Oryctolagus cuniculus: one gene and its partners. The protein of the gene in region 2 purifies or fractionates together with the protein of the main gene of each other region. This does not show direct contact. Links are inferred from orthologs where the notes say so. Each region holds a gene or a part of one and is shown on either strand. Other genes may lie near its edges. The genes, in order: PLAA, HDAC6, TIMM50, PKM, TUBB4B, CCT5 and MYH10.

What was found.
Region 1: the proteins of HDAC6 (region 2) and PLAA purify together in Homo sapiens (affinity purification with mass spectrometry; 4 studies listed by BioGRID and IntAct, with this or other methods). This does not show direct contact. The link is inferred for Oryctolagus cuniculus from reciprocal best matches to the Homo sapiens genes HDAC6 and PLAA.
Region 3: the proteins of HDAC6 (region 2) and TIMM50 purify together in Homo sapiens (affinity purification with mass spectrometry; 3 studies listed by BioGRID and IntAct, counting the BioPlex papers as one, with this or other methods). This does not show direct contact. The link is inferred for Oryctolagus cuniculus from reciprocal best matches to the Homo sapiens genes HDAC6 and TIMM50.
Region 4: the proteins of HDAC6 (region 2) and PKM purify together in Homo sapiens (affinity purification with mass spectrometry, with the first as the bait; 4 studies listed by BioGRID). This does not show direct contact. The link is inferred for Oryctolagus cuniculus from reciprocal best matches to the Homo sapiens genes HDAC6 and PKM.
Region 5: the proteins of HDAC6 (region 2) and TUBB4B purify together in Homo sapiens (affinity purification with mass spectrometry, with the first as the bait; 4 studies listed by BioGRID). This does not show direct contact. The link is inferred for Oryctolagus cuniculus from reciprocal best matches to the Homo sapiens genes HDAC6 and TUBB4B.
Region 6: the proteins of HDAC6 (region 2) and CCT5 purify together in Homo sapiens (affinity purification with mass spectrometry, with the first as the bait; 3 studies listed by BioGRID). This does not show direct contact. The link is inferred for Oryctolagus cuniculus from reciprocal best matches to the Homo sapiens genes HDAC6 and CCT5.
Region 7: the proteins of HDAC6 (region 2) and MYH10 purify together in Homo sapiens (affinity purification with mass spectrometry; 3 studies listed by BioGRID, with this or other methods). This does not show direct contact. The link is inferred for Oryctolagus cuniculus from reciprocal best matches to the Homo sapiens genes HDAC6 and MYH10.

What each region holds. Positions count from the first base shown.
Region 1 is NC_091432.1:190,206,583-190,210,780, forward strand, and holds the start of PLAA (phospholipase A-2-activating protein), read right to left. Parts: upstream 2,801-4,198; 5' UTR 2,359-2,800; coding exon 2,210-2,358; intron 1-2,209. UniProt on the Homo sapiens protein: Plays a role in protein ubiquitination, sorting and degradation through its association with VCP. Involved in ubiquitin-mediated membrane proteins trafficking to late endosomes in an ESCRT-dependent manner, and hence plays a role in synaptic vesicle recycling.
Region 2 is NC_091453.1:34,001,268-34,004,767, reverse strand, and holds part of HDAC6 (histone deacetylase 6), read right to left. Parts: coding exon 3,379-3,500; intron 3,181-3,378; coding exon 3,012-3,180; intron 2,794-3,011; coding exon 2,660-2,793; intron 2,124-2,659; coding exon 2,055-2,123; intron 1,942-2,054; coding exon 1,749-1,941; intron 308-1,748; coding exon 158-307; intron 1-157.
Region 3 is NC_091449.1:15,487,221-15,489,467, forward strand, and holds part of TIMM50 (mitochondrial import inner membrane translocase subunit TIM50), read right to left. Parts: intron 1,605-2,247; coding exon 1,546-1,604; intron 1,457-1,545; coding exon 1,337-1,456; intron 1,059-1,336; coding exon 954-1,058; intron 862-953; coding exon 763-861; intron 90-762; coding exon 1-89. UniProt on the Homo sapiens protein: Essential component of the TIM23 complex, a complex that mediates the translocation of transit peptide-containing proteins across the mitochondrial inner membrane. Has some phosphatase activity in vitro; however such activity may not be relevant in vivo.
Region 4 is NC_091443.1:110,896,947-110,901,000, forward strand, and holds the end of PKM (pyruvate kinase PKM), read left to right. Parts: intron 1-50; coding exon of another isoform or gene 51-217; exon of another isoform or gene 218-576; coding exon 577-743; intron 744-2,564; coding exon 2,565-2,746; intron 2,747-3,447; coding exon 3,448-3,554; downstream 3,555-4,054. UniProt on the Homo sapiens protein: Catalyzes the final rate-limiting step of glycolysis by mediating the transfer of a phosphoryl group from phosphoenolpyruvate (PEP) to ADP, generating ATP.
Region 5 is NC_091432.1:237,515,660-237,519,820, forward strand, and holds TUBB4B (tubulin beta-4B chain), read left to right. Parts: upstream 1-1,413; 5' UTR 1,414-1,577; coding exon 1,578-1,634; intron 1,635-1,971; coding exon 1,972-2,080; intron 2,081-2,159; coding exon 2,160-2,270; intron 2,271-2,473; coding exon 2,474-3,534; 3' UTR 3,535-3,648; downstream 3,649-4,161. Other genes in the region: CIMIP2A (ciliary microtubule inner protein 2A), read right to left, coding at 3,649-3,737, 3,825-3,942, 4,042-4,136. UniProt on the Homo sapiens protein: Tubulin is the major constituent of microtubules, a cylinder consisting of laterally associated linear protofilaments composed of alpha- and beta-tubulin heterodimers.
Region 6 is NC_091445.1:39,635,724-39,639,862, forward strand, and holds the start of CCT5 (T-complex protein 1 subunit epsilon), read left to right. Parts: upstream 1-1,339; 5' UTR 1,340-1,471; coding exon 1,472-1,576; exon of another isoform or gene 1,577-1,597; intron 1,598-1,659; exon of another isoform or gene 1,660-1,928; coding exon of another isoform or gene 1,929-1,949; intron 1,950-2,054; exon of another isoform or gene 2,055-2,078; intron 2,079-4,139. Other genes in the region: ATPSCKMT (ATP synthase subunit C lysine N-methyltransferase), read right to left, coding at 1,026-1,041. UniProt on the Homo sapiens protein: Component of the chaperonin-containing T-complex (TRiC), a molecular chaperone complex that assists the folding of actin, tubulin and other proteins upon ATP hydrolysis.
Region 7 is NC_091448.1:52,931,114-52,934,613, forward strand, and holds part of MYH10 (myosin-10), read right to left. Parts: intron 2,098-3,500; coding exon 1,936-2,097; intron 1-1,935. UniProt on the Homo sapiens protein: Cellular myosin that appears to play a role in cytokinesis, cell shape, and specialized functions such as secretion and capping. Involved with LARP6 in the stabilization of type I collagen mRNAs for CO1A1 and CO1A2.

The DNA of each region.
Region 1 (4,198 bases), on a different chromosome or scaffold from region 2:
ATGTTGGCTGTCTCAAGTCAGTGCACAACCCAAAAATTAATGTCTCTATTCTGAAGGGACTTCAGAGGGTCCAGAGAGACTTTCTGGGTTTTCAATGGGATTTTGTGAAAGACTTAGTCCACTCTAGAACAGAACTATTTCCATCTCCCTAGAACAAAACTCCCCCATCATTCTACTCTCTACACTTAATATGCTGAACCAGAACCATATCAATAATGTATACGAGCAAACAAACTTCATTTACTACTTAGCTCCAAATATTGTATGGTACTCTAATTTTATAAATATACTATGAAATAAAAATTGCCAGTATCTTGGCCTTGAAGACACTTTTTATAACAATAAATGGTGTGGCTGGGTCATTCTATTCATGATGGCTAAGAGATTAACACTCCGTGACTATGAGATCCTTTAACCTATGCAGTTACAAATAACAAATTAAGTAATTTTATCTGTCTTATCACTCATTTTCTAGCCTTGTGCCTGGCAAAATGCAAGCTCTTCATCAGTGTTAGTTGAATAAATCTATGAATAAGTTTTTTTAAAAGAACATGAGTTAAAAGACAAGAATTAGTTTTCAAATAGAAGATCATTTCAACTAAACGTTGCTTGAAAATGCAAGCACTCCAGCAACTTAAACTCTTGTCAACCTAACACAATTCTACAAAACATGTAAAAGTTTAATGGCAGGATAGATAAAATTACAACAGACAACCTTTAGATAGTCCTGACAATGTTAGAAGAGACCTGTAGAGGTCAACTCATCCAATACAAGGCTTGCTTTATAAAACCTAGTCTAGTCTAGCATACTGCAAATGCCTCCGAAAAGATCTACTTCCGTGCCCCTTCTCCACCAGCAGCTGACAGACACTTCTCAATGGGTAAATCACATCACGCTGCTCTCCACTGCTAAGTTCTTGAAGGCTCCCACCTGCAGACTCCATGATGTGGCTCTTGCCTGATCTCAGTTCACAGCTCATTCCCTCCTGCCACTTAGGGACTTGTCTTTTTCAAGCCAGGGCCTCTGCCTAGCTCTTTCAGTTCAACTCTATTCATTCTTCCTCCCCAAGGCTCCCAGCTTAATCTATGTGGTCAGTGCTTCAAATGTCAAAAGCACACATCTCTTCAGAGAGGCCCCCTCTTTTACACCTTCCTTCACCCCATTTATTTTCTTCATAATACAGGTGCCAGTTCTTAACTACTTATTTGCTTGGGTTTTAAGCCTTGTTCCTCAGCAGACTGCAAGACAGCTGTACAAACACAGCCAACTTGTCTTCATTTTCCTCTCCAAGATCCAAAATAAACAGGGGGCACTCTATAGTTAGCAATCGACTGATGGATGGCCACCCAAACCCTGAAACCTCCAGTGATGGCAGACTTGCCAAATAATAAAACCACTAACCTCAATTTTTCTTTTTCCGGAACAAAAAAAAAATCTCTGTTCTGGTTTTAAATTTCCTGCTAAAAACCAGCTAAAATCAGAGCCAAACCCTTGAACTTGGTCTGGACTGGAGGTTAACCTGGTTCTCGACCTTCTTCCCCTCCTGAACCCCTCTGATAAGTCTTTTTCAGGTTAGTACAAGCTCTGTCCTCAAGAAAACAGCACGTCCCCATATGGCAATAAAACTTTTGAGAAGTTTTCACCCCCTGCCCCCAAGACCCTCACAGACCCCCGACTAAGGAACTCTAAACTGGACAACAGGGATGGAGTCAATGCAATTTTTGAGAACTGACGTGTTCAAAACCTATCGGAAGGAAGACTACAGTACAACTTCTGGGGGAGAACGAGGACATGCCAGATGCTTTTGGACTTACTCACTTAGGAAGATGCACATGGAATTAGTAAACCTCTAAATCTAGAAGACACTTGGGAGATCATCGTCCGAAAACCGAAGCCCTCCCCCCCCACCACCACCAAAAAAATAAATAATAAGAGGCGCGTCCAAGGTCACTCATTTGATTGTGCTCAAGTTAGGACAAGAAAGCCGATCTCGGTCCCCCACCTGGGGTTCCTTCCACTTCAGTCTCGCTAGAATCTTAACGAGGAGTGCCCAGAGAGCCAGGGCTCAGAGGGTTGGGAAGGAGCGGGAAGCAGAGGAAAGACCAGCAAGAGAGGGAAAGAGCAGGCTACAGCAGGGAAGAGACACTCTTCCCACTCGCCGGGAAGCTTGCAACACAGACGGCCGACAGCCCCACTCGCAGCGCTCACCTGTCCGGGGCCCAAAGGCGGGTGGTGCGGTCTCGGGACACCGACACAAAGGCCCCCGGCGGATAGAGGCAGCACACCAGGCCCCGCACGTCCAGCTCATGACCCGGGAGCGAGCAGCTCAGCCGGTACCTGGCAGCGCCGCTAGCCATGGCCAGGGTCTTTCCGGCGCCCGGATCCCGGGCACCGCGCGAGATCAGTCCGCAGCGGAGACTCGGCGTGCTCCAAGCGGCGGCGGGAGACGAGCCTGCAGGTGAGGGGCGCCTGGGGACCGGAAGAGCCCAAGAGCCGGTGCGGAAGGGCGGCGGGGAAGGGGCGCGCCGAGCGGGCCGAGTGACACAGCAACCCACACTTGCACACCGGAATTCATCATCCGCCCCAGCCCGCCATGACGCAGAGCGTGTGCGTCCGGGCTGCCGAGGCCGGCGGGCAGCTAGGGTTCTGTCCCCTCTCGCGCTCGAGGCAGCCCTAAGACGAAGGGGTAAGGACGGCCGGCTGTTTTGACCCCGCCCTCGGGTCCTTTCCAAACTCTGACCCTTTCCTCGTCCCCGCCAAACTGTTTGTTGTAATTCTGCAAGCAGGCGGGGACTACGAGTCCCACAATGCCGCGCGCCAGTGGGGCGTGAGCAGCCAGTGCGCAGAATCTGGATTTTTCAAATCTGGGTCCGCGGAGCTGCGCGCTGTGGGGTCAACGGGGTGGAGTTGCTTGTTGACTTCTTTTGCGGCGTCCATACCAATTTTCCTCAAACCGCCTCTGCAGTCTACTGACATTTTAAACAAGCGGTTTTCCTCCCTCCCCACCCCCCATTAAAACTAGAGACCAGGAAATTGGGGCCGCTTAATAGTTTGCCTTGGTTTCAAATTACTAGTCTCTTTGCCCCCTACCATCAAAGTTAGCAAATAAGTAAGATAGTCCAGTTGTACTCTTTGAAAGTACGCCTACTTCCGGTAGTTTGTTGAAGTGCAGATTCTGATTCGGTAGGTCCGGCTGAGGCCGAACGTAGCTCATGCAGTTTTGACAAACCCCAGGTGATGCTGCTTGTCGTCATCCGTCTACAATGACTGCAAGGGTTTACAAGACCTGTTCTACTTCCAGCTGCTCCCCCCTTGCATCTAGTTCCACTTCACAACCCTTATAAATTAATTACAGTTTGCGCTTTTCTGACTTCTCCCTACTGGAAACGCCCACTTCAGGTTTGGAATCACCACTCCTCCTTTTCTTTCTCCAACAGCCCTGAATACCTCTCCCTGAGGAGACTATTTACCACTTTGCTTTTCTTCTAAAGCTCTATCCCTCAGAATGACATATCCAAATTTCAGATCTGTATTTCCAGCTGTTAGAAATCTTAACCTAGGGGCCGGCACTGTGGCGTAGTGGTAAAGCCTCCGCTTGCAGTGCCAGCATCCCATATCTGCACCGGTTCATGTCCCGGCTGCTCCTCTTCCCATACAGCTCTCTGCTGTGGCCTGGGAAAGCATTAGGAGATAGTCCAAGGCTTTGGGCCCCTGCACCCACCTAGGGGGACCAGGAGGAGGCTCCTAGCTCCTAGCTTTGGGTAGGCCCAATTCCAGCCCTTGCAGCCACTTGGGTAGTGAATCTGCCTGGAAAGACTTCTCTTTTTGCCTCTACCTCTCTGTAACTCTGCCTTTCAAATAAATAAATCACTTTTTTAAAGGATGACGCAAGGATAGGGTGGGTACTATCATTGTAACCTAGAATGTCACGTTCTTTACCTGTCAAATTTCAATACTGGTTTATCATGTGTATCCGTCTAGTTCCTCTCTGGAACCAATACAATTTTTTATTTTCAAATAAATAAATCTTATTTTTTTAAAGATTTTATTTATTTATTTGAAAGGCAGAACTAGAGAGAGGTATAGGCAGAGACAGAGAGAGAGAGACAGAGAGGTCTTTCATCCACGGTTCACTCACCAGATGGCCGCAACAGCCAGAACTGTGTCCATCCAAAGCCAGGAGCCAGAAGGCAGGAG
Region 2 (3,500 bases):
TGTTAATGTGGGTGGTGTTCTTTTTAGTGCCTAGTATGTGCCAACAATCCTATGTGGGGACACTCAAAGGGGATCTTTGGAAAACTGCCCCAAGTGATGCAGCCAACTCTTCCAAAGTACCCTCCCACCATGGGGACAGGGACCAAAAGCGATTTACCTCTAGGATAAGGATAATGCGGCCACCAGCAAGGCCCATCAACAGGTGGGTGAGGTGGGCATAACCCTCAGGTGACACCTGGCAGCCCCCCAGTGGGTCTCCTCGTGCAGCATCAAAGCCCGCTGAGACCAGTACCAGTTCTGGGTTAAACTGAGTAGGGAGAGAAGAGACGTGTGCTCATTCAGGGGTTGGCTTTGGTAGGCAGTTAGTGATGAGACTTAGAGACGTGGAGACCCAAAGATGTGGGAGATAAGGAAAGATGAAGACATGGAGATGCAACTCAAGTAATGGAGACAGGGGCTGGGAGATGCAAGAACAGGGACCTGACAACCAGGAAGGGGAAGGCAGGGAAACACAGGAGATAGAGAATTAGAGACAGGAGAAGCAGAGACACAATGCAGTTTGCTAGAGATGTGGACACACCAGACATGAACTTAAAGACATGATAACACTAAAATGGACAGACAGGGACATGAGGCAGAGTCATGAAATACAGAGACATGATACATGGAGACTCAGATGTCAAGAGATGGTGACATGAGAAATGGAGAGACAGACACATATCTCCATCCACATGCACTCCAGGGTCAAACATGGGACACACAGGTGCAAGACACAGGATTTTATACACACGGTGCCAAATAGAGGTACACACACACACTTGTGTGGACAGTGGAAGTGCCACACACAGGACAAGATGATGACATGCAGCCACACATACTCTCACAGAGACAGTCCTGTGAATGCCAGGATCATTCATTCACACTGGTCACGCAAAGTTCCTCAGAAGTGAAAATGGTCCACGGTCACAATGGTCTCATGTGCTGTTGCGTCCACGGGAGGCAGTCACCTGTACACACAGTTGCACACACACAGAAGGTGGCTCTGGCCACCCATGAATAGTCACACACACAGATCTAAAGGTGCACACCCACGCCCAGCTTTGCAGGGTTAATCACGTAAGCACCACAGTCATCCCAGTTCACACAGAGAAGGCAGCCACAGCCAGGCCACATTCCCCTATCAGAGGCACATGCAAAAAGCCTGGACTAACAGACAGACACAAAGATAGATGTCCCACACAGCCTTCAACATCCAGAGAGTTCCATACAGGCTGTCACAGAGAGAGCAGCAACCAATGACATATCGCACTCAGCATGCAGAAAAAAGGTGGTGACAGATAGCCACCTGCACAGAGGGGTATGCATACATGCTCAAATCCCTGCCCTTCCTTGCATACACAATTCCAGAGACAGTGTGACCCATGGTCACCCTCACACCAGACAGGCATTCATGATGGCAGACACATCCACACAGGCCACTGCCACACATCCAGAAAGTCCTCACACAGAAGCCCACGCATACAATGTTACACAGAGAAGGCACTCACCCACAAGCCACTTGTGCAGACAGGCATGTAAGGCTGTCACAGTCAACCCCCATCCCCTGAAAGCCATCCCTGTAGCCACCCACAGGCTGTCTCATATAATCAGTCTCGTGACGTGATCAGTCAGACACATACATATACTCCCAAGAAGGTAGCCACGTGCTACCATCTGCACAGGTGCGTCACACACATCCTGAGCCATACCTCGTATGCAATGGGAAGCACCAGACGATGCCAGGCCATCAGGTAGTCAGCATCCCCTATGCGGGACCCATTCCAGGCCACGTTGACAGTGAAACCTGTGCCCGCAGCCCGGCCCATCTGGCTGCAGGCACCCTCATCCCCCACGGGGAAGAAGGTGCCCTGATCATAGCGGTGCAGGGATATGTAGAGCACACTGCCAGGGATAGGGCAGAGAGAGGGCCATGGTTAGGGGTCCCCTAGCCCCCAATGAGGCATGGTTCGCCCACCTCCCTGACCACACTCCTGCCCCCAGCCCCAGTACCTCACCTGGGGTCATCCTCAAAAATGTGCTGAGTCCCATTACCATGATGGATGTCCCAATCCACAATCAGGACCCTAGGAAGGGGACAGCTCCTCAGTATCCCAGGACATTCACCCCATGGGTAAATGCTGGGTATAGACCCCTAGGGTCTGCAGGGACATTTGGTGCTAAGGAACGGGATCTTGTGTCTCTTGAGAAAGCACCGAGCATCTGGCTTTTGGGTCCTATTGGTGTAAGGATGAGGGCTAGGTCTGAGGGCTGCACTCTGGGCCTAAGTAAGCTCTCAGGGCTGGGCGCTGAGAAGCTAAGTGGACCCCATGTCTTCAAGAGGAAGCATTGGAGCCTCAACCTGGGTTCTGTTGGGATGGCCTTTGAGGACCATAAATGCTAGGGTGGGACCTGAGACCTGGTTTAAAGCGCCCAGGTGCCCCAATCTGGAGGTCTGAGCTGGGTAGGCACTGACCAGCCTCCTTTGTTGTCCTTTTTTGGATAAGTGCTGAGCAGTTGACCCCTGCTTATTTCCAAGTAAGTCCTGGGAGCTGTACATGGAGCTTGTTGATTATACTTTGGGCTGGGGGACATCCAGGTCCCAAGAATCAGAATGTCTTACCGCAGGGCACGTCCACTGATGGCCTGGGCATGGCGAGCAGCCACTGCCACAGAGTTGAAAAAGCAGAAACCACAAGCGGCATCCTGCTCAGCATGGTGTCCTGGGGGGCGTACCAGGGCAACGCCATTCAAAACCTGGGGGAGTGTGGGGAGAAAGGTTGCTCTCTTACTTACCTTCCCCTTTCTTCACTACACTTCCTTTCACTACTTCACCCAACTGTGAGGGAACCCCCACCCTCTAGGTGGCCCTCTTAGCGAGCAATGACCCCTCCCCACAGCCCCTTTTCTCAGGCCTGGTCCAACTATCTCCGAGCCATCGTGGGTAGCCCCACATGGCAGGCCAGAGGCCGCACCTCTCCTTCCAGCACAGCCTCCACCAGGCGGCAGACGGTGCCAGTGGCAAGCTGTGCACAGGTGAAGGTGCTGGGGCAGATGTAGATTGAGTCAAAGTTGGCACCCTCGCGATGTAGTTCCCGGGTCTTCATCTTCTGCGTGGCCCGGATACGCTCCACATACTCAGCACTGGGGGCACAAAGAGGGGCAGCCAGTGGACAGTGAGGTGGCTCTGTTTCCTCCCTGGGGCCTGCTCCCAGACCAGAACTTGGACCCTTCTCAGTCCAGCAGCAGCTCCCACACAGGTGAGGGTAACCCTAAGCTCCCACCCCTGAGTCCCAATCATGGCCACAGTCACAGTTCCAACCCTGGGCCCAAAGATGTGACCTGTGGCAAGTGAGCAGCTCAGCATCAGTGGCAGGTCGTGCTGGTAGGTTGAGGCAGCGTCCAGCAAGGCCCAACTCCTCCAGATGGCACATGATACGCAAGATACGCTGGGGTGTCTCGGG
Region 3 (2,247 bases), on a different chromosome or scaffold from region 2:
ACACCGTTGTACGGCTGTAGGCGGAAGGCTTCCTTCTTGCAGTCCACAACCACCACGCGGGCTGGGTCCCGATTCAGACAGGAAATGTCCTGGAAGTGGGTACAAGTCGGGTCAACATCTGTGTCCCCTCCCCACCTAAGGGGCGGGCAGAGGGAGGGATACACACACAGCCCTGACCACACGGGGATCCCCAGGGCCACACACAGGGAGTTGGACTGCAGGTTCCCTGGGGAGGGAGCTGGCCACCTGCCTGATTAACCCGGCCTCAGGTGACTGTGACATCCCCCACCCAGATAAAGATGTGCAGACGAATCTACAGCAGCACACGGAAGCCACCAGAGAGACCCTCCAATCATGGCCACGTACTGTTGAGTCCCCAAGAACACACACCCCTAGACCAACTGAGACACAGACAGAAACGCCCCACCCAGACCCACAGACACTGGATACACTGGTGGCCACGGAGCAGACCTAGGTCACACAAACCCCAAACAGCATCACAGGCTACCGGTCACTCGCAGTTCCAGACACGAACGAAAAACAGCGTCCAAACCTCACGCTCCCCCCCTCGCCCCCATTCCCAGAGTCTATGGACAGGTGAAGGCTTAGAGGCTCTGCCCCGCCTGGAGCAGGCTTGGGCAGCCACCAGGAGGCGGACCTGGGCAGAACCACAGGCAGGGTGGAGGTCAGGCTCAGAGCCGGTCCCTCGTCTCTGACAGGGCCCCTGCACCCAGAGGCCCACCCGCAACCCGCACACAGCACCTTCACATGGTGCCCATCCATGTATCGTGTGGCATCCCGGAACAGGCGGTAGGAGATGAAGCCGTGGGGGTCCACGCTGTCGATGAGCGGGAATGCAGTCTGCAGGGTGGGAGACAGAGGTCAGGTTGGGCCCTGGCCCGGGGCACCCTGCCCCAGCCACACTGGCCGCACAGCCTGGGCCCCAGCCTCACCATGCCGGTCTCTGACGTGAAGATGACGATCTCATACAGAGGGGCGAGCTGCTGGAACAGCGTCTCGATGCCCGGGCGCTTCTTAAACCTCCAGCCTGTGGCCAGCTGGGGAGACAGAGGACGGTGAACTACTGACACTCAGGGGCCCCAGGGGACAAGGACCCAGCTCCTGGGGGTCAGGGCGGGGGCCCAGAACGAGAGCGGACTCCTTCGCGGCCCTACTGTGTGCTGAGGCATGCCAAAGAACCCCCTCAGAGTGGGTAGTGAGGACGGCGAGGCAGGGGGACGTGCCACCTCCTCTCCGAGGTAACACAGGAGGCCCACAGCATCATAACCCACTGCCCAGGGGTAGCCCCCAACCTGCTGCCTTCCCCAGGACACACCGACCACTCAGGGTGCAAGAGGACACCAGTGAGCTCCAGGACGAGCGTGTAGGGCGGCTGGTAGTACGGCTCCCGTAGGGGGTCTGGCAGGAGGCAGGGGCTGGTGGGCTCGATGATCATCTGTGGCACAGGGGCGGGACGGGAGCTCAGCCAAGGAGGCCCGGGCCGGAGGTGCAGGGACGGGGGCTGGGTCCGGAGCCCCTGCTCACCTGTCTGTAGTCCTTGAAATATTTGTAGGTCCGGCGCAACTGCTGTACCAGAATCGGATCTAGGACACCAGGCACAAGGGTTCCGGGATAAGCCGCTGCTCACCCTCCAGACAGAGTGCGTTCACGAGCGGTCTGATCCTGACTCCCTGGTGTGAACTGGCTCAGCCCCGAGCCCAGAGGTGGAAGCAGCGCGCACTGTCAGGTGAGGGTGGAGGTTTCGCCTGGACACTCCCGACCACACGATGCCGGGCCGCCGGGAACACGCACGCAAATCTGCGGACAGCACGCCAGCACACCCGGCCTATTCTGGGCGAGCAGGCGCCGTGTCTGCCCACTTTGAGCCACGGTGCTGAGTCTAAGTACGCCACACAATACATACGGACAATGGGTATTTGAAACCACCGGTTCTCAACTGGCAACGATTTTGCCTCTCCCTTTCCCTGGGAAACCAGGCAACCTCTGGAGACACTTCTGGCTGTCAGACGCTGGCATCCGGTGGGGGGATGCTAGATACCCTCCCCAGCTACACGGGCAGCAAAGCATCATCTGGCCCCGGGGCCACCAGGGCTGAGGGTGCACAATCTGTTCTAAATAAACACGCTGAGTCGTTTGAGAGGCAGAGAGAGAGAGAGAGAGAGAGAGAGAGAGCGAGAGAGCGAGAGAGAGAGAGAGAGAGAGAGGTATCTTCCATCAGCTGGTTCA
Region 4 (4,054 bases), on a different chromosome or scaffold from region 2:
CTGTCTCCTCCTCCTCCTCTCTTCCTTGCCCTCTCCCCTAACCCTTACAGATAGCTCGCGAGGCTGAGGCAGCCATGTTCCACCGCAAGCTGTTCGAAGAACTTGCGCGAGCCTCCAGTCACTCCACAGACCTCATGGAGGCCATGGCCATGGGCAGCGTGGAGGCTTCCTATAAGTGTTTAGCGGCAGCTTTGATAGTTCTGACGGAGTCTGGCAGGTAGGGCCCGAGGCCAGGTAACGCTGCAGGGGACCCTGCCTCTTGCGCCAGCTGCTCCAGGATGCGCGGCCTGGGCCCAGAGCCTCTGCTCAGCTGCAGGAAGACAGCCAGGGTGGTCAGGACAGGGCAGGACCGGAGGCTCTGCCTCGGTAGGCAGCGGCGTCTCGGGCAGCCGGTGGAGGAACGCCCCCGGGGAGTCTGGCTCTGCTGCTCCCGGGCTGCAGCCCTCAGGCTCGTGTTGGCCTTGCTGGGCCGTGTCCCCCACCCGCTGTCTGTAGACTCATCCCCTCCCCTCTCTGACAAAGCTCTGACGAAGCTCTGTCCCCTCTCGTCCCCCTGGACGGATGTTGCTCCCCTAGATTGCCCGTGAGGCAGAGGCTGCCATCTACCACTTGCAATTATTTGAGGAGCTCCGCCGCCTGGCGCCCATTACCAGCGACCCCACAGAAGCCGCCGCCGTGGGTGCCGTGGAGGCCTCCTTCAAGTGCTGCAGTGGGGCCATAATCGTGCTGACCAAGTCTGGCAGGTAGGAGGCGCCAGCGAGCGCCTGGCGGTGCCCTGCTGCGGGACACCCCTGCAGGAGGGGCCTGGGAGCGGTCCTGGCGCAGTGCGCAGATGGTGCTGAGCCAAGGTAAGCCCCTCTGCCCACCACCTGCACCCTGGCAGGGAAGGATGCTCCCAGGCCCCCGGGCCAGGACCAGCAGTGAGCGGAGCCGTAAGGGGTAGGGCTGACGACACATACTTGTTCTTTAAAAGCTGCTCCTTGGAAACAGAAGCAGAGTTGCCTTTTCTGGTTCTTAGGACCTCTTTGCAAACTTAGTCTGGAAAATCTGAATGCTGTTCCCATCTCTTCCAGACACACCAGTGGGTTCTGGGCCCAGGAAGGTCACCCCCCCTTTCCCCTCATTTTGTGGGGCTGTGGTGCCGGGGTTGGACTTGGCCTGAGTTACCCTCCCTCCCCTGCGGCCCTGGGAGACAGCGGGTGGGGAGGAGGGGCCGCAGCTGGGCTGCCGTGTGCGACCAGGAGAGGTCTGCGACGCCCACTCTTGGGCTTTCGGGCTGACCTTTGTAGAACGGCCGGCTTAGCTCTGCACTATTCTTAGCGGCAGTCTTCTGAGATTTCACAGCTCTGACCCCAGCAGCTGCCTCCCCTGAAGGCCAAGCCTGTTCCTGGCACCTGTTCTGTCTTCGCAGCTTGCTCCCGGGGCCTGCTCCTTCGCGGGCCCCTCCCCAGCTCCTGCAGGGCCCCTGGCACAGGGCTCAGCAGAGTCCCCACCTCCAGGGACCCCTGACAGGCGGAGCTGCCCCCATGCCCACCTTTCTCTCGTCACGAAGCCCTTACCTGAATCTACACAATCTTAGGAGTTAATCTTTGGTTAAAAAATCTTTTTTACTTATTTGAAAGGCAGAGTTGGAGAAAGGGAGACAGGTCTTCCCCGGTTCACGCCCCAAATGGCTGCAGCGGCCAGGGCTGGGCCAGGCTGAAGCCGTGCCCGTGTGGGGTGCCCATGTCCCTAAGCCACAATGCTGGCCCCCCCGGGAATTTTTTTTTTTTAAGATTTATTTATTTATTTGAAAGAGTTACACAGAGAAAGAGAAGCAGAGAGAGAGAGGTCTTCCATCGGCTGGTTCACTCCCCAATTGGCCACAATGGCCAGAGCTGTGCCAGTTCAAAGCCAGGAGCTTCTGGGTCTCCCACGTGGGTGCAGGGGCCCAAGGACTTGGGGCATCTTCCACTGCTTCCCCAGGCCACAGCAGAGAGCTGGATCGGAAGTAGAGCAGCCGGGACTCAGGCAGCACCCTTATGGGATGCCGGCACTGTATGTGGCGGCTTCACCTGCTATGCCACAGCACTGGCCCTTTGGGAATTCTTAAGATGCCTCCGGATCTTCAAGTTTGTCTGAGATCTGGAGCCCAGTTGCTGGGGCCGCTTGGGTGGACGAGCCCGGCAGTGGAGGGTCCGTGTGTTGCTGGGCCCAGGGTCTGGCAGCTGTGCTGCGGCTCTGCAGTCAGGCTGTGGGCCACACACTGCTCCGCTGTGCTTCTGCCGGCCCCAAGACGAGGCCCTGCACTAGGGCTGCCGGGTGGAGGGAGCAGGACTCCCTCTGCCATAGTGGAAAAGTTCAGGGTGTGGCAAGGCAGCTGCCAGCCCTGGCCACGTGGGGTCAGTGGATGAGATGGGGCGGCTCCCTGCCCTCAGAGGCACCAGAGAACAGGTGTGGAAGTGGCCAGAGCTTCAGGCTGGCGTAGTGAGTTGGATTAGGGGGTGAGCTATTGCCAAAGGCCCGGGGGGGGGGGGGCTCCAGGGACACTGCTTAATGGTCGTCCTGCTTGTCTCCTGTCCCAGGTCTGCTCACCAAGTGGCCCGGTACCGCCCGCGCGCCCCCATCATTGCCGTGACACGGAACCACCAGACCGCCCGCCAGGCCCACCTGTACCGTGGGATCTTCCCGGTGGTGTGTAAGGATCCGGTCCAGGAGGCCTGGGCTGAGGATGTCGACCTCCGGGTGAACTTGGCCATGAATGTCGGTGCGTGCTGGGAGCAAGACTAGAGACCTGAGGGGCAGGATACCTGGCTACTGGCTTCTCTGGGACCCTGGAGCCTGGGGAATATAACGGGGGGAACCCCAAGACCAGAGAGGCCAAGAGACCTAGCTGAGCACCCCTGGTCCCCACTGGGGATGTTCCCCGAATCCCACTGCTTGTCGGTCCTGAGCAGCGCCCGGGAGGGGAGGGGTGCCATAGCTCGCAGCCACAGTAAAACGCCTCGTTCTGTGGCAGTGCTCTGGGGGTTAAGGTTTATGTCATTTATTTGAAGGGCAGAGTGCCTGAGGGGGAGGGAGGGAGGCAAAGATCTTGCATCCACTGGTTCAGTCCTCAAATAGGCGCAACAGCCAGGAGAAGGCCAGAGTCGGGCCCAGAGCTCCATCCGGGTCCCCCCCATGGATGGCAGAGGCAAAGGCATTTGGGCCACCTTAGGATGCCTTCCCTGGCTCGTTGGTAGGAAGCAGGAGCAGCCTGGACAGGGGATGCCGGCGTGGAGTGGCAGCTTACCCTGCTGCACCACGCTGTTGGCCCCGCTGCCCGGGTGTTGGGAGAGGAGAGGAGCAGCTGGCTCTGACCTTAGGCAGTCTTAGGTCATGTCCAAGTCCCTGCCCACTTTGCCCCCGCTGTGAGGCTGGCGCCACCTTGTGGAGGGTGGAAGTCCCTCACCAGCTTCTCTCCTGCAGGCAAGGCCCGCGGTTTCTTCAAGAAGGGAGATGTGGTCATTGTGCTCACCGGATGGCGCCCTGGCTCTGGCTTCACCAACACCATGCGCGTGGTGCCCGTGCCGTGACAGCCCGCAGCCGCTCCTCCAGCCCCGTCCCGTTCCTTCCCCCAACCCATCTGTTAGGCCAGCAACGCTTGTAGTGCTCCCTCGGGCTGTAGTGTGGCACCGGTGGGCTGGGACGCCGGGAAGACGGCTCCCGCCAAACGTGTTTGTTCCGAGCCGGCGCCCCTAGCGGGGCTCACGCAGGCCCGGAGCAGGGCAGGCCCGGAGGGCCCCTCCCTAGCTTACGTGGGGGAAGGCCTGCCCTCCGCGTGTAGAGCTTCCAGCCAGAGCTGGGCCTCAAGGGAGGCCGCGCGTCCAGTTGAGGCAGACGCGGATCTGGCCCCCTGGGCCTCCCACTCCACGCTGTGTGTTGTGCTCATCTGTGTTCCCCACCCCACTCAGCTGTGGCCGCCAACAAACACTCCACCTCCACCTCCACCTAGCCCACGAGCGAGGCCTAGGCCTGCTGTCCGGAGCCTGCCTTGTGTCAATAAACAGCGGCTGAACACCTGCCTCCTCTCTGT
Region 5 (4,161 bases), on a different chromosome or scaffold from region 2:
GCGACTGTCTGGCTGCTGCCCCTGGCTGAGGGTAATGCATCCTCCGCTGGGACATGACCACTGGCAAAGGCGGCCTCCCACGTGGGCACCTGCAGGAGGGCCGGCGCCTGCCTGGCCACCGACTCCAGGCCCGGAGGTGGGGGGTACCTGCAGGGCCTCTCCCCCCGCCCGGTGCAGAGCTGCTGCTGTATTGAGAGGCCGACGTGCGCGTGGCCTGCGTCACCTGCAAGACGGGGGCTGCCACACTGACCTCGCAGCCCCTGCGCGCTGGTCACAGCAGCAGGGAGGGGGTCTCCGGTCACCCCAAGTGTGGCTGGGCTGGGGAGGCGCTGACAAGTTGGACGAGGGCCAGAGACCTGAGCTTCCCCGTGCGTGAGGGCCTGCCTGTGGACTGCATGGGCAGCGGAGCCACCCTGGAGGACGCCCGCACTGCGCACGCGCCCAGGCAGGCAGGCTCCAGACCCCAGGGACCGGGCCGTGTCAGCGTGGGCAGCAGGAGCCGGGCCAGCCTTGCGGGCTGCTCTGGGCACAGTGGAGCTGCCGACTCACGGTCCCCGCAGCACGGAGAACGCCCCCTCGGGGCGCCCCCCGCTAGGAACAAGCAAGTGCTGCCCCCCGACCGACGCCGGGAGAACAGGACCCGGATGGGCCCCGCGCCCACGGCGGTGACCGCGTCCAGCGCAGCCCGGAGCGCGCGGATCACCCTTAGAGACGTTACCAAAACACAACGCGAATGTGCGCCAAGGTGCAGCCGTGTGCGCAACCGTCTTTCAACACAAGTCAAGCCGGAAGCTGGTGCGCAGGGCAGGAGAGCCCACCCCGTGTCCATGCAGCCCTGCGCCCCGGGCGACCGGCGCACGGCCAGTGCGGTCTCCACAACACAGCGCGCGGCGGGGGCGGCGGTCCAGACCCCGCCCCTGGACGCGGCCACTGCGGCACCGGGGGGACGGGGCTCTGCGCGGAGACCCGCGGGGCTCGCCACGGCCGTGCGGGCCCGCGCGCCAGCGTGTGCACCGCGGCGTGCGCCCCGGAGGAGGCGCGCGGGCTGGCCCCGGACCACGGGCTCGCGCGGCCCCGCCGAGGCCTGAGCTGTCGCAGGAGGCCCGGCCGGAAGCCCGCGCCCGCGCCCGCGCTCCCTAACGCCCCGCCCGCGCGCGTCTCCCGCTGCACTGCGGCGGTTACCAGGACGCTGACCCAGGACGGCCAATAGCGCCGGCCTGTCGGCGTGCTCCCGGGCGTCCGCCAATGAGAGGGCAAATCAATCATTTGAAACACCCAATGGACAGAGCACTGCAGCGCGAGGCGGGGCGGATTGTGATAGGGAAGCAGGGGCCCGCGTCTGACCAATAAAGAGCGGACATCGTTGGGAAGGTGGGCCTTAAGCAGCTCTATTGACAGAAGCTCGGCCAGTCAGACGAGGCCGCTCTGCAGCCTCGTTCTGGCGGCCCAATCCGAGGCTGGCGGAGGCGGGTGCAGGGGGTATATAAGCGTCGGCGGAGCGACGGTTGTAGCACTCTGCGCGCCCGCTCCTCCGTGTTCTTGTCGGTCTTGCTGCTTGTGCCGTCGCCGCCGTCGCCATGAGGGAGATCGTGCACCTGCAGGCCGGGCAGTGCGGCAACCAGATCGGCGCAAAGGTGGGCATTCGCGGCGCCGCGGGCCCGGCGCGGCGTTGCCGGGCGGGGCGGGCGGCTGGGAAAAATGGCGGCAGCGGCTGGGCGGGCGGCGTTCCCGCATTGCGGCTCCCGGAAGCGCAGCGCGGACCGCGACCGGGGCCGCCGGGGCCCGAGCCCGGGCGCCGGCTGCCGGCGGGGGCGGGCGGAGCTGCGGGCCCGAGCGCCGGTGGCCGCGGGCGCGCGGGCCCGGGTGGGGGAGGGGAGGGCCCGCCGCGCCCATCCGGGGCGGGGCCGCCCCGGGCGCACCGGCTGCGGTGACTCAGCCGCACGCCCGCCCGGGCGCGCCCGTGCCTTGCAGTTTTGGGAGGTGATCAGCGACGAGCATGGCATCGACCCGACGGGCACCTACCACGGGGACAGCGACCTGCAGCTGGAGCGCATCAACGTGTACTACAACGAGGCCACCGGTGAGCCCCCGGCCGCCCCCGCGCCCCCCGCCCGCGGCGCCGCGGCCGCCCGCGCGCTGACGCCCCGCTGTCCCCGCAGGCGGCAAGTACGTGCCCCGCGCCGTGCTCGTGGACCTGGAGCCCGGCACCATGGACTCCGTGCGCTCGGGGCCCTTCGGGCAGATCTTCAGACCCGACAACTTCGTGTTCGGTGAGCGGTGGGGGCCGCCCAAGGTCACGGCCCGGAGCCGCCTGGTGCCGCCTGAAGCGGCTTTGGGAGGGAGGCCCGGGAGCCGCAGGGGCGGGGCTGCTCCCGCACGGTCCTCCCCCGCCCCGGGTTGGACTTGAGCAGGGCTGGCGGCTGTGCCGGTGACCACGTGCCTGGCCCCAGAGTGACCACTTGTCCTCCTGCAGGCCAGAGTGGGGCCGGGAACAACTGGGCCAAGGGCCACTACACGGAGGGGGCCGAGCTGGTGGACTCGGTGCTGGACGTGGTGAGGAAGGAGGCGGAGAGCTGTGACTGCCTGCAGGGCTTCCAGCTGACCCACTCGCTGGGCGGCGGCACGGGCTCGGGCATGGGCACCCTGCTCATCAGCAAGATCCGCGAGGAGTACCCCGACCGCATCATGAACACCTTCAGCGTGGTGCCCTCGCCCAAGGTGTCGGACACGGTGGTGGAGCCCTACAACGCCACGCTGTCCGTGCACCAGCTGGTGGAGAACACGGACGAGACCTACTGCATCGACAACGAGGCCCTCTACGACATCTGCTTCCGCACGCTCAAGCTCACCACGCCCACCTACGGCGACCTCAACCACCTGGTGTCGGCCACCATGAGCGGGGTCACCACCTGCCTGCGCTTCCCCGGCCAGCTCAACGCCGACCTGCGCAAGCTGGCCGTGAACATGGTGCCCTTCCCCCGCCTGCACTTCTTCATGCCCGGCTTCGCGCCCCTCACCAGCCGCGGCAGCCAGCAGTACCGCGCGCTCACCGTGCCCGAGCTCACCCAGCAGATGTTCGACGCCAAGAACATGATGGCCGCCTGCGACCCGCGCCACGGCCGCTACCTGACGGTGGCCGCCGTGTTCCGCGGCCGCATGTCCATGAAGGAGGTGGACGAGCAGATGCTGAACGTGCAGAACAAGAACAGCAGCTACTTCGTCGAGTGGATCCCCAACAACGTCAAGACGGCCGTGTGCGACATCCCGCCGCGCGGCCTCAAGATGTCGGCCACCTTCATCGGCAACAGCACGGCCATCCAGGAGCTGTTCAAGCGCATCTCGGAGCAGTTCACGGCCATGTTCCGGCGCAAGGCCTTCCTGCACTGGTACACGGGCGAGGGCATGGACGAGATGGAGTTCACCGAGGCCGAGAGCAACATGAACGACCTGGTGTCCGAGTACCAGCAGTACCAGGACGCCACGGCCGAGGAGGAGGGCGAGTTCGAGGAGGAGGCGGAGGAGGAGGTGGCCTAGGGCCGGTCGCCAGCGCGCGCTCGCGGTGTGAACTCTTTATTGGCTCAGCGCCCCTGGCAGGGCCGTCTGCGTGCACCTGCCCCCTTCCTGTCCGCACACCACCATTAAAGCGTTTCATAGTGCCTGGCTCCGCCTCTGCACTTCCTTCTGGTAGGCCCTGCGGGTGCTGTTGCCAAAGGTCATGGCGTAGTTGTCCTGCATGGCTGCGGGGGAGGCGCGGCTGAGCTGGGCCGGCTGCGGGCCCCGCCCTGCCCCTGGGGTGCGGGAGGGCGGGCAGGGCTGGTACTCACAGGGGATGAACCCCATGTAGAAAGGGATCATGCCTTGGCTGTTGTAGATGGTGCTGCTGGACCAGTGGGCGCTGGGCAGCCTTTGGCCCAGGGCACAGCCCGGGTTTCTGAACAGAAACTGGGGGGGGCAGGTGGGTGCTGGCGCCCGTCAGGCAGGCAGAGCCCCCCCCAGCCTCCGCAAGCCGGGCCACAGGGAGCAGCCTTGGGGCGGTTGTACCTGCGTCTTGTCGAACTCGTCCAAGGCCTGTGTCACCCCGTCACGGTAATTCATCCCCATCACCCAGGCGAAGCGCGGGACGAAGCCAGCGTAGCCTGGGGGGGCACGCAGTCAGCCCAG
Region 6 (4,139 bases), on a different chromosome or scaffold from region 2:
CATTAAGCATTTCCGGTTTTCCGCAACAACCTAATGAACCAAATGGCTGGCGGAATTCACCATTCTGAGCGCGCAAACACTGAATCCGCCAAGCAAGAAGGAACGGAGGCTCCAGGATCTAAAATGTCCGGGGAGCACCACTCCAGTTGCGGAGGGTGGGCCGACTGTGAGGGTCCGTTCTGGACTCCCCAGCCAGAGTTCAGCCTCACGGTGCGCGCCCGGTCCTCGTTTACTGGGCACAGCCTGGCTGGCGTGGAGAAGGCAGCCAGGGCCGTGGACCCTGAAGTAAAGGCAGCAAAGGGAATCAGGGCAGGGGGGTGTCGGGCGGGGTTGTGAGGCGGCCCTGCACAGGGCTCAAGAATGGGACCCGCTGTGGGAAATCAGGGTTTACTGTTTTTTAAATTTTTTTTTTTATTTCAAAGAGAGACGAGACAGAGATCTTCCACCCCGTTGATTGACACCCCAGATGGTTGCCAAGGGCCAGGGCTGGGTCGGGCTGACGCCAGGAGCTTCTTCCAGGTCTCCCCCGCGGGTGCAGACGCCCATGGACTTGGCCATTAGCAGGGAGCCGGACCCGAAGTGGAGCCCAGACGGGGCCCTAGCCCACTAAGCCACAGCGGCGCCCGCGTACGAGGCTGGCTCGGGGCCGGGCACTGCGCGCTCTGCGCCCTCACAGCAGCCCTGGAGGGCACACGCTGGCATTCTCACGGCCATGTCACACGAGGACACCGGCGCGCGGAGGTCCAGCGACTTCCCCAGCACGGCCCGCGCCGTGGGCCTGCGACACCGCCATGCCACCCCGAGGGCCGAGCTAACGGCAGTCATCCGCCCAAAGGCGCCCAGAAGCGTCCTGGCGGACAGGCCGCAGACCCGAGAACGGGGCCCGGGCTGGCGCAGCGCGCCGAGGGGCAGGACGGCCGCCTGGGGCCGGGGGCGCCCGCGGCCCGCTCCCGCGCTCAGACGACACCGACGGCCCCACAGCGCCAGGCCCGCGCGCCCTCCCGCGCACGCCGCTCCGGCCTCACCTCCTCCTCCTTCCATCGCGAGATTTCCGCACTCTTAAAAAAAAAGGCGGGGGGGATGTGGAAGCTACCATCTTCTCAGAGCCGGGGTGAGAAGAAGTGTAAAACAATGCTTTAAGAAAATAATTTTTCGTTGTAACTCACTACGAAGAAGATATCAATTATAAATCTTTAGGTAATGATTCAATTATTCCTACTCTTGACCTGTGAGTTCTAAAAGTCTTCAGCTCCTCCCCCCCCTACAGCTTCCCGGATAATAGAAGTTTCCAAAGGCCGCCGATTCCAGAAGGTACTGTCTGGCGTCAAATTAGTTTCAGTTGAAAAATAAGTCTCGCGCTGTCCGCATTGCGCATGCGCGAGCTGCTGCGCTCTCTCGCGAGAGGAAGGTGTGTTCTGGGTTCCGGCGTGGTCTCTGCCGGTTGCAGGAAAGTAACTCCTGCTGCTGAACCATGGCGTCCGTGGGGACCCTCGCCTTCGATGAATATGGGCGCCCTTTCCTCATTATCAAGGATCAGGACCGCAAGTCTCGTCTTATGGGACTTGAAGCTCTCAAGGTAAGGGGCCCGAAGACGCTCGTGGCGGGCTAAGGGGAGGCGGCCGCGTCCGGGGCTCTGCGCCTGCGCAGGGTGGGCCGCGGTTTTCGCCATGTGCTCCCCGAAAGGTCGAGAATCGCCTCACCCTGGGCGCATCTCGCTCTCCGAATGTTGGGTCCGGCGGCCCGCGAGCGCCGTTAGGGCCGCCCCGCGCTGAACCCCGCGGCAGCCCCTGAGAAACGGGGTTCGCCCTGCTTTCGCGAGGCCGTGGTCGTTGACAGCGTGTGCCTCTGTGCGTGGCCCAGTCCTGGGTGCGCGCTCGTAAAAACACGAGATCCTTCAAAGGAGAGCGCAGCCGTAGCGGGAGTGGGAGATGGGCGCGTGTGACGAGTGGGTACGGGGGCGGCCAGGCGTAAACAGGGGGTCCCAGCGGGGCCCAGCCGACTTGAGGTCGCAGCGGTTCCCGAAGCTGCCAGCCCGGGACGCCACCCCGACGGAAAAGGGCTTCCCCGCCGAGGCTGGGGTGGGCGGAGGGAAGAGGGAGGAGGGCCAGCTGAACTCATGATTGACAGGGTGCAGAGGCTGGGGGGCGCGGAGGGCGCGGAGGACTTGAGCAGCCCGGGGTCCGCCCTGAGCTCCCTTGGGGGCTCGGGGTTGTGCTTGGATCCGGAAGCAGCACGGTTCCCCCACGGACTCGCAGCCTCACTCCCAGGGCGGGTCGTCTCTGCCGAGCCGGGGACTCGGGGCTGTTTGTTTCCCTTCCAGGGAATAGGGCTCAGGCTGCTGGTATTACAGATTTATTCCATTGTTGAGTTCTAGGGATCCACGGAGAAAGCTCCAGTACACGCACCACACGTAAAGCATAATTAAGCGACAGCTTGTTGTGTGGTACCGCCGTAAACTGAGACGGGTGTTCGCAGGATGCTGCAGGGTCGCATACGACTGGGTAGCTGGACCGTGATTCGGGGCCGCGGTCTAGAGCTGCTTTCTCAGCGCGGCTTCGCTGACGCCTGGGGCCAGATCACTGCCCATTCGGGGCCCTGGCCCGTGTAGATGTTAAGCACTTGGCCTCTGTCCACTGTGCCGAGGTTCCCCCTGCCCAGTTGTACCAACCAGAAGTTGTCCTGGGAAAGAATTCCCGCCACCACCACTTCCCTAGAGTGTTATTTAGGTTTCTCGTTACACTGACCTGTAACTCGGCATGTATTTAAGGCGTAATTGTGTTTTCGCAGTTGGACCTTTTATGTCTTCTGTAACCTGCCAGGTGGATGACCACCGAGCCGCCTTGGGGAGTTGCTGTGTGTGAGGGGCGGCAGCTAGGTCTCGATCCTGGAGCGCTTTGAACTCGAGTGCTGAGACACTAGGGATCGTGGAAGCCTTGGAAGTCGTGAGCAGAGCATTTGAGCGTAGTTAGCCGGCGGATTGGTTGCCTGGTTGTGGGGAATTTTAGGGGAGGTGGGTTCAGTGGTCCTGGGATTCTGTGGTTGCTTTGGGTCTGGTTAGGCTGATGATGGCAAGGAGGGAGAGAAAGGAAGCGCAGACCAGTTACCTGTGGAAACGGGGAAGGGTCTTTCCCAGGCGGAGTGGAGGGGCAGGATGCTCTGCCAGGAAGACTGTTGGCGGTGACTAACACCCCCCACCACCACCACCCAGGACTGCTCTACTCTGGGAATGACTGAACCTGCACACAAGGTGCAGTGAGCGGCACGTTCTCCTCAGAGTGTAGACGTCAGTCCCGAGGCCTGTTCACAGCACTGCCTGGATTGGTGTGGTTGAGTACCAGGCTCTGTGTTGGGGTCATGGACTTGTTCCTGGCTCTCCTGCAGAGAAGTGGGACCAAAATATGTGAAGAATTGAAGGCATCAGGAAGAGAAATGACATAAACCAAGACTTGAACATTCTCATGGGTGAAGGCTATAAGCACTTTTTCCCCCTTGTCATTTAGATCCTGAAACGAAATCTGTGCTTTATTGAGACTTTTTCAGTTAAAAATGGCAGTGTGTTCTATCTTAACGCAGTAGTACCTGGGACTTGGGCTCTGAACCTGAGTAACCCAGATGAAAGCAGCTGAGTTTGCAGTCGCGCTGGCGGGGTCCTGTTGGGTCTGCAGTGTGGGTGTGTAGACTCCGCGGAGCTGCAAGTGGGTGGAAGAGCGTTTCTTCCACTTTCCTGAGCAGCTGGACGAGGTGTCTTCCTGTCTGCCAAATCCCTCACCACCTTTGTTTTCTGCCTCTTACTCTCTCTCTCTAAAATATTTATGTCTTGTACTCAGTGTAGTAGCTAGGGGTGGTGAGGAAAACAAATCACTCTGATACAGCTATTCGCCCTCCTTAAGAGGTTGCCAACTTTGGTCCGTAATTATAACTTGGAATTTCAGCAGAGTGGAGGAAGGGTATTTTTTTGTTTTTAAGATTTATTTTATTTATTTGAAGAATTAGAGGTAGAAACAGAGAGAGAGGGGTCTTCCACCTGCTGGTTCCTTCCCAGATGGCCGGAGCTGAGCTGATTAGGAGCCAGGAGCTTCTCCCATGTGGGTGCAAGGACCCAAGGATTTGGGCCATCCTCCACTGCTTTCCCAGGCATC
Region 7 (3,500 bases), on a different chromosome or scaffold from region 2:
ACGGCAACGTGAAGCAGTCACAGTGGCACAAACAAGACAAAGCAGTGGCAGGTCTGACACCCAACGTCTTGAGCCAGTGGACTTATTAAGATGACACTGCCCAAATGACCTGGAGTCCACACAGTAAGTGTCAGAATCCGCGTCAGCTGTGTGTGTGTGAGGGAACTGACAAGTGACCCTAAAATTCATGTGAATTTCTAGGAACTGAAAACAGCAAAGAGACGGGAAAGAGAGGGACAGCGTGCGCTAAGTCACCTAAGTCACACTTCCCGATTTCCAAGCCGCAGAAAGACTGGTGCTGGTGTAGGGACAGGCACCCACAGCCGCGGAGCCGCTAGAGCCCAGAAACACACACACTGCAGCATGGCCCGTGCGTTCTGACGAGGGTGCAGGCGCTCTGAGCGGGGGCCACAAGCTTCAGAGTCCATCTGTGAGTCAGGAAGTCGTGTCTGTGCTCAAACTGGGTGATGGAAATAAAACGAGGCCGGCGCCGCGGCTCACTAGGCTAATCCTCCACCTGCGGCGCCGGCACCCCGGGTTCTAGTCCCGGTCGGGGTCAAAGGCAGTTTTCGTAAATGAGTATTGACCAACAGGCACCTAGGAGGCCCAGGGTTAGTCATCAGGGACGTGCACATCAAAGGCACAGTGAGTGATGGACAGACAGCAGTGCCGCGAGATCTGAGGAAGTGAACCCTGCTGCCTGGCTGCCGGGACCCCACGTGCGCTGCTATGCAGGAGTCTGGCAGTTCCCACTAAGTTACTGTTACCCTGAGACCCAGCAGTTCTACTCCCAGTGACACCCCCGTGCACGTGGACAGCACACGTCCACACAGCTGCACACAGATACTCAGAGCAGCACCACTCGTCCCAGCTAGACAGCGGGAGCAAGGAACACCCTGATGAACAGTGAGTACACGTGGCTGTCTCCAAGCAGTGTGACGTTACTCAGAAGTAGAGAGGAACGAACTACTCGTGCTGTGTCAGGCTGCTCCGTGACGGGAGCCGGCCTACCCACGTGCCACGTCCAACCCCGAGACAGACAGGAGCTGACAGGCGGGGCCGGGCGTGACAGCGAGTGGGTACAGGTTCTCGCAGGGGGAACGAAGTGTCCACAATTAGACGGCGTGGCGGCTGCCTAAGCCTGAATGCGAGGCAGGTGAACCGGGGACTGCACTCAGTAGAGCGCTGGGCAGTCAGTGCTGCTGCAGTGTCCAGTACTAGCGCGGAAGCTGCGCAGTCAGAGCCCCGGGGGAAGACCTCACGGAAGCAGAGAAGTCACTCAGACCTAGGATCCGGAGGGACGTCAACATTTTCTCTAGGTATGCCCGTGTCCCTGTAAAAACCCACGCGTGTGCAAACACACATGCGTGAACATCTGTGCGTGTGCGCAGGTGCTGCCTGGGCTTACGGCCTGCTGCTGTTCTCGGGCCCTCGCCACCTCAGCCCACAGCACTTTCCACTTAGCTTCCACCTCTTTGCTATCATAAATAACATTTCAGCTAAGGTCTTTGTATAAAAACCTCATTTTCACATTTTGCCAGCATAAATTCTTAAGCTACATCCTGACAGCTGCCCCCTAGATCACTACTGACGCTGACTGCCCCCCAGAGGCGGCTGTGCGGGCGCAGGCCGGAACTGCTACAGAGCTGACATTTTGTGGCTGTAGCCGTGAGAGCTGGTGTGCAGCCCGGGCAGCGATGACGGGTGCGCACTGCGGATCCCAGCGCCGCCGAGGACAGCACCACAGCAGGGCTGCTGCAGGCCACCAGAGCACGTTCCGGCAAGGACGTGGCACCCGGAGCCCGTCCCCAGCTCAGTCTCTCTCTGTCACACACACGCACGCACGCACGCACGCTGCAGGCACGGCAGGTCCGCGAGTGCCACCTCGGCGGGCCGCCGCCCCACCCACCGCCGAGGCTGGCGCCGGCCGCACACCTGCAGTCTGCGAAGCTGCTTGACCACTTCGTCCCGGGCTTTGTTCGCGGCCTCGATTTGCGCTTCAAGGTCCTTCAGGTCTATTTCCATTTTCTTCTTGGAAGCAACAGCGAGCGCCCGCTGTTTGCGCTCGTCTTCCAGCTCGGCCTCGAGCTCCCGCACCTGACGGAGAGCATGGAACGATGCCTGGTTAAACCGAGGGCCCCGGCCGGAGGAGAGCAGCCGGCTGGCGGCGGAGCGCTCTGCCCCCTGCTGCTGCCCGGCAGAGCTGCGCTCCGAGGCTGAGCGGTTACTAACCCAGCAGCCGACTCACTGAGGGGGCCCTCAGACGCCAGGGCGCACCGTCCCCGACACGGAAAGCCAGAGTCCCTGACGGCAAGCTCGGGGCCCACCGGGGCTGCAGAACCTTTCTTTGGCCGAGGGCCATCGGGTACTCCTGACGTCACTCACGGGCCGCACACGGTCATCGCCTCACAGACCGGCCGGCCGCAGGTGCAGTCGCTCTTGAGCCCTGCTGTGCTGGCTCCGCAGGGGAGGGGTCGGGGACAGGCCAGCTCGAGCTCACTGCGACGGCCTGGCCGTCAGTGCCTGGACTGGACATGGTCTCCTGGTGCCCTGCTGGGGCGTAGCCTGGGGGCTGCCGCACCCGAGGGGTGGCCTCCTTGGAGGCTCAGAAGCCAGTGCTCTCGGCAAACAGAATGGAGCTGCTACGGACGCCGCAACCTTGTGGGAAGGGGCGTGCTCTGGGGTGATGTCAGGAAGCCAGCAGGCCTCCAAGGGGTGAAGCAGACCCCTCTTGCACCGCCACAGAGCGGAGGTGCTCGCTGGGGTGGGGGGTCTTTATGTCACAGGACCACAGAGGCGGAGCTGATGTGAATCTGCCCTACCCCCACCCCCATCCGACAGTGTGGGGCTTTAAATGGCTCCACTCCAACTTGGAGCTGAGCTTAATTTCCTTTTTTTTTTTTATTTTCCTTTAAGGAAAGATTTATTTATTTGAAAGGCAGAGAGGGAGAGACAAAGAAAAGTCTTCCCTCTGCTGGTTCACTCCCCAGATGGCCCCAAGAGCTGGAGCTGGGCTGACCTGACGCCGGGAGCCTCCTCCGGGTCTCCCACACCGGTTCAGGGTCTCAAACACTTGGGCCATCCTCCGGCTTTCCCAGGCGCATCGGCAGGGAGCAGGCGATGGCTTTTCCCGCTGGGCCACAGCGCCAGCCCGCTGGCTTCCTCTTGGAGGTGGGCTGACTTAGGGACTTTCAGGGTGCAGAACGGGAGCAGGGTCGCCGCGGCGGCCCGCACTGGGACCCCGTTGAGGTCCTGGCTGCCCTGCTCCTGCTCCTGCTCCCTGCCAGTGCGCCTGGAAGGCAGCAAGTGATGACCCAAGTACTAGGGGCCCTGCCACCCACGTGGGAGACCAGGATGGAGTTCCAGCCCTGGCTGCTGCTGTAGGCAGATGGGGCGTGAACCCGTGGATGGAAGATCTGTCGCTGTCCTGCCAAATAAGTAAATCTTAAAAAAAAACCAGCAACCAAAAACCCAGTCACCAGACCTTCAGAATGGAAAGC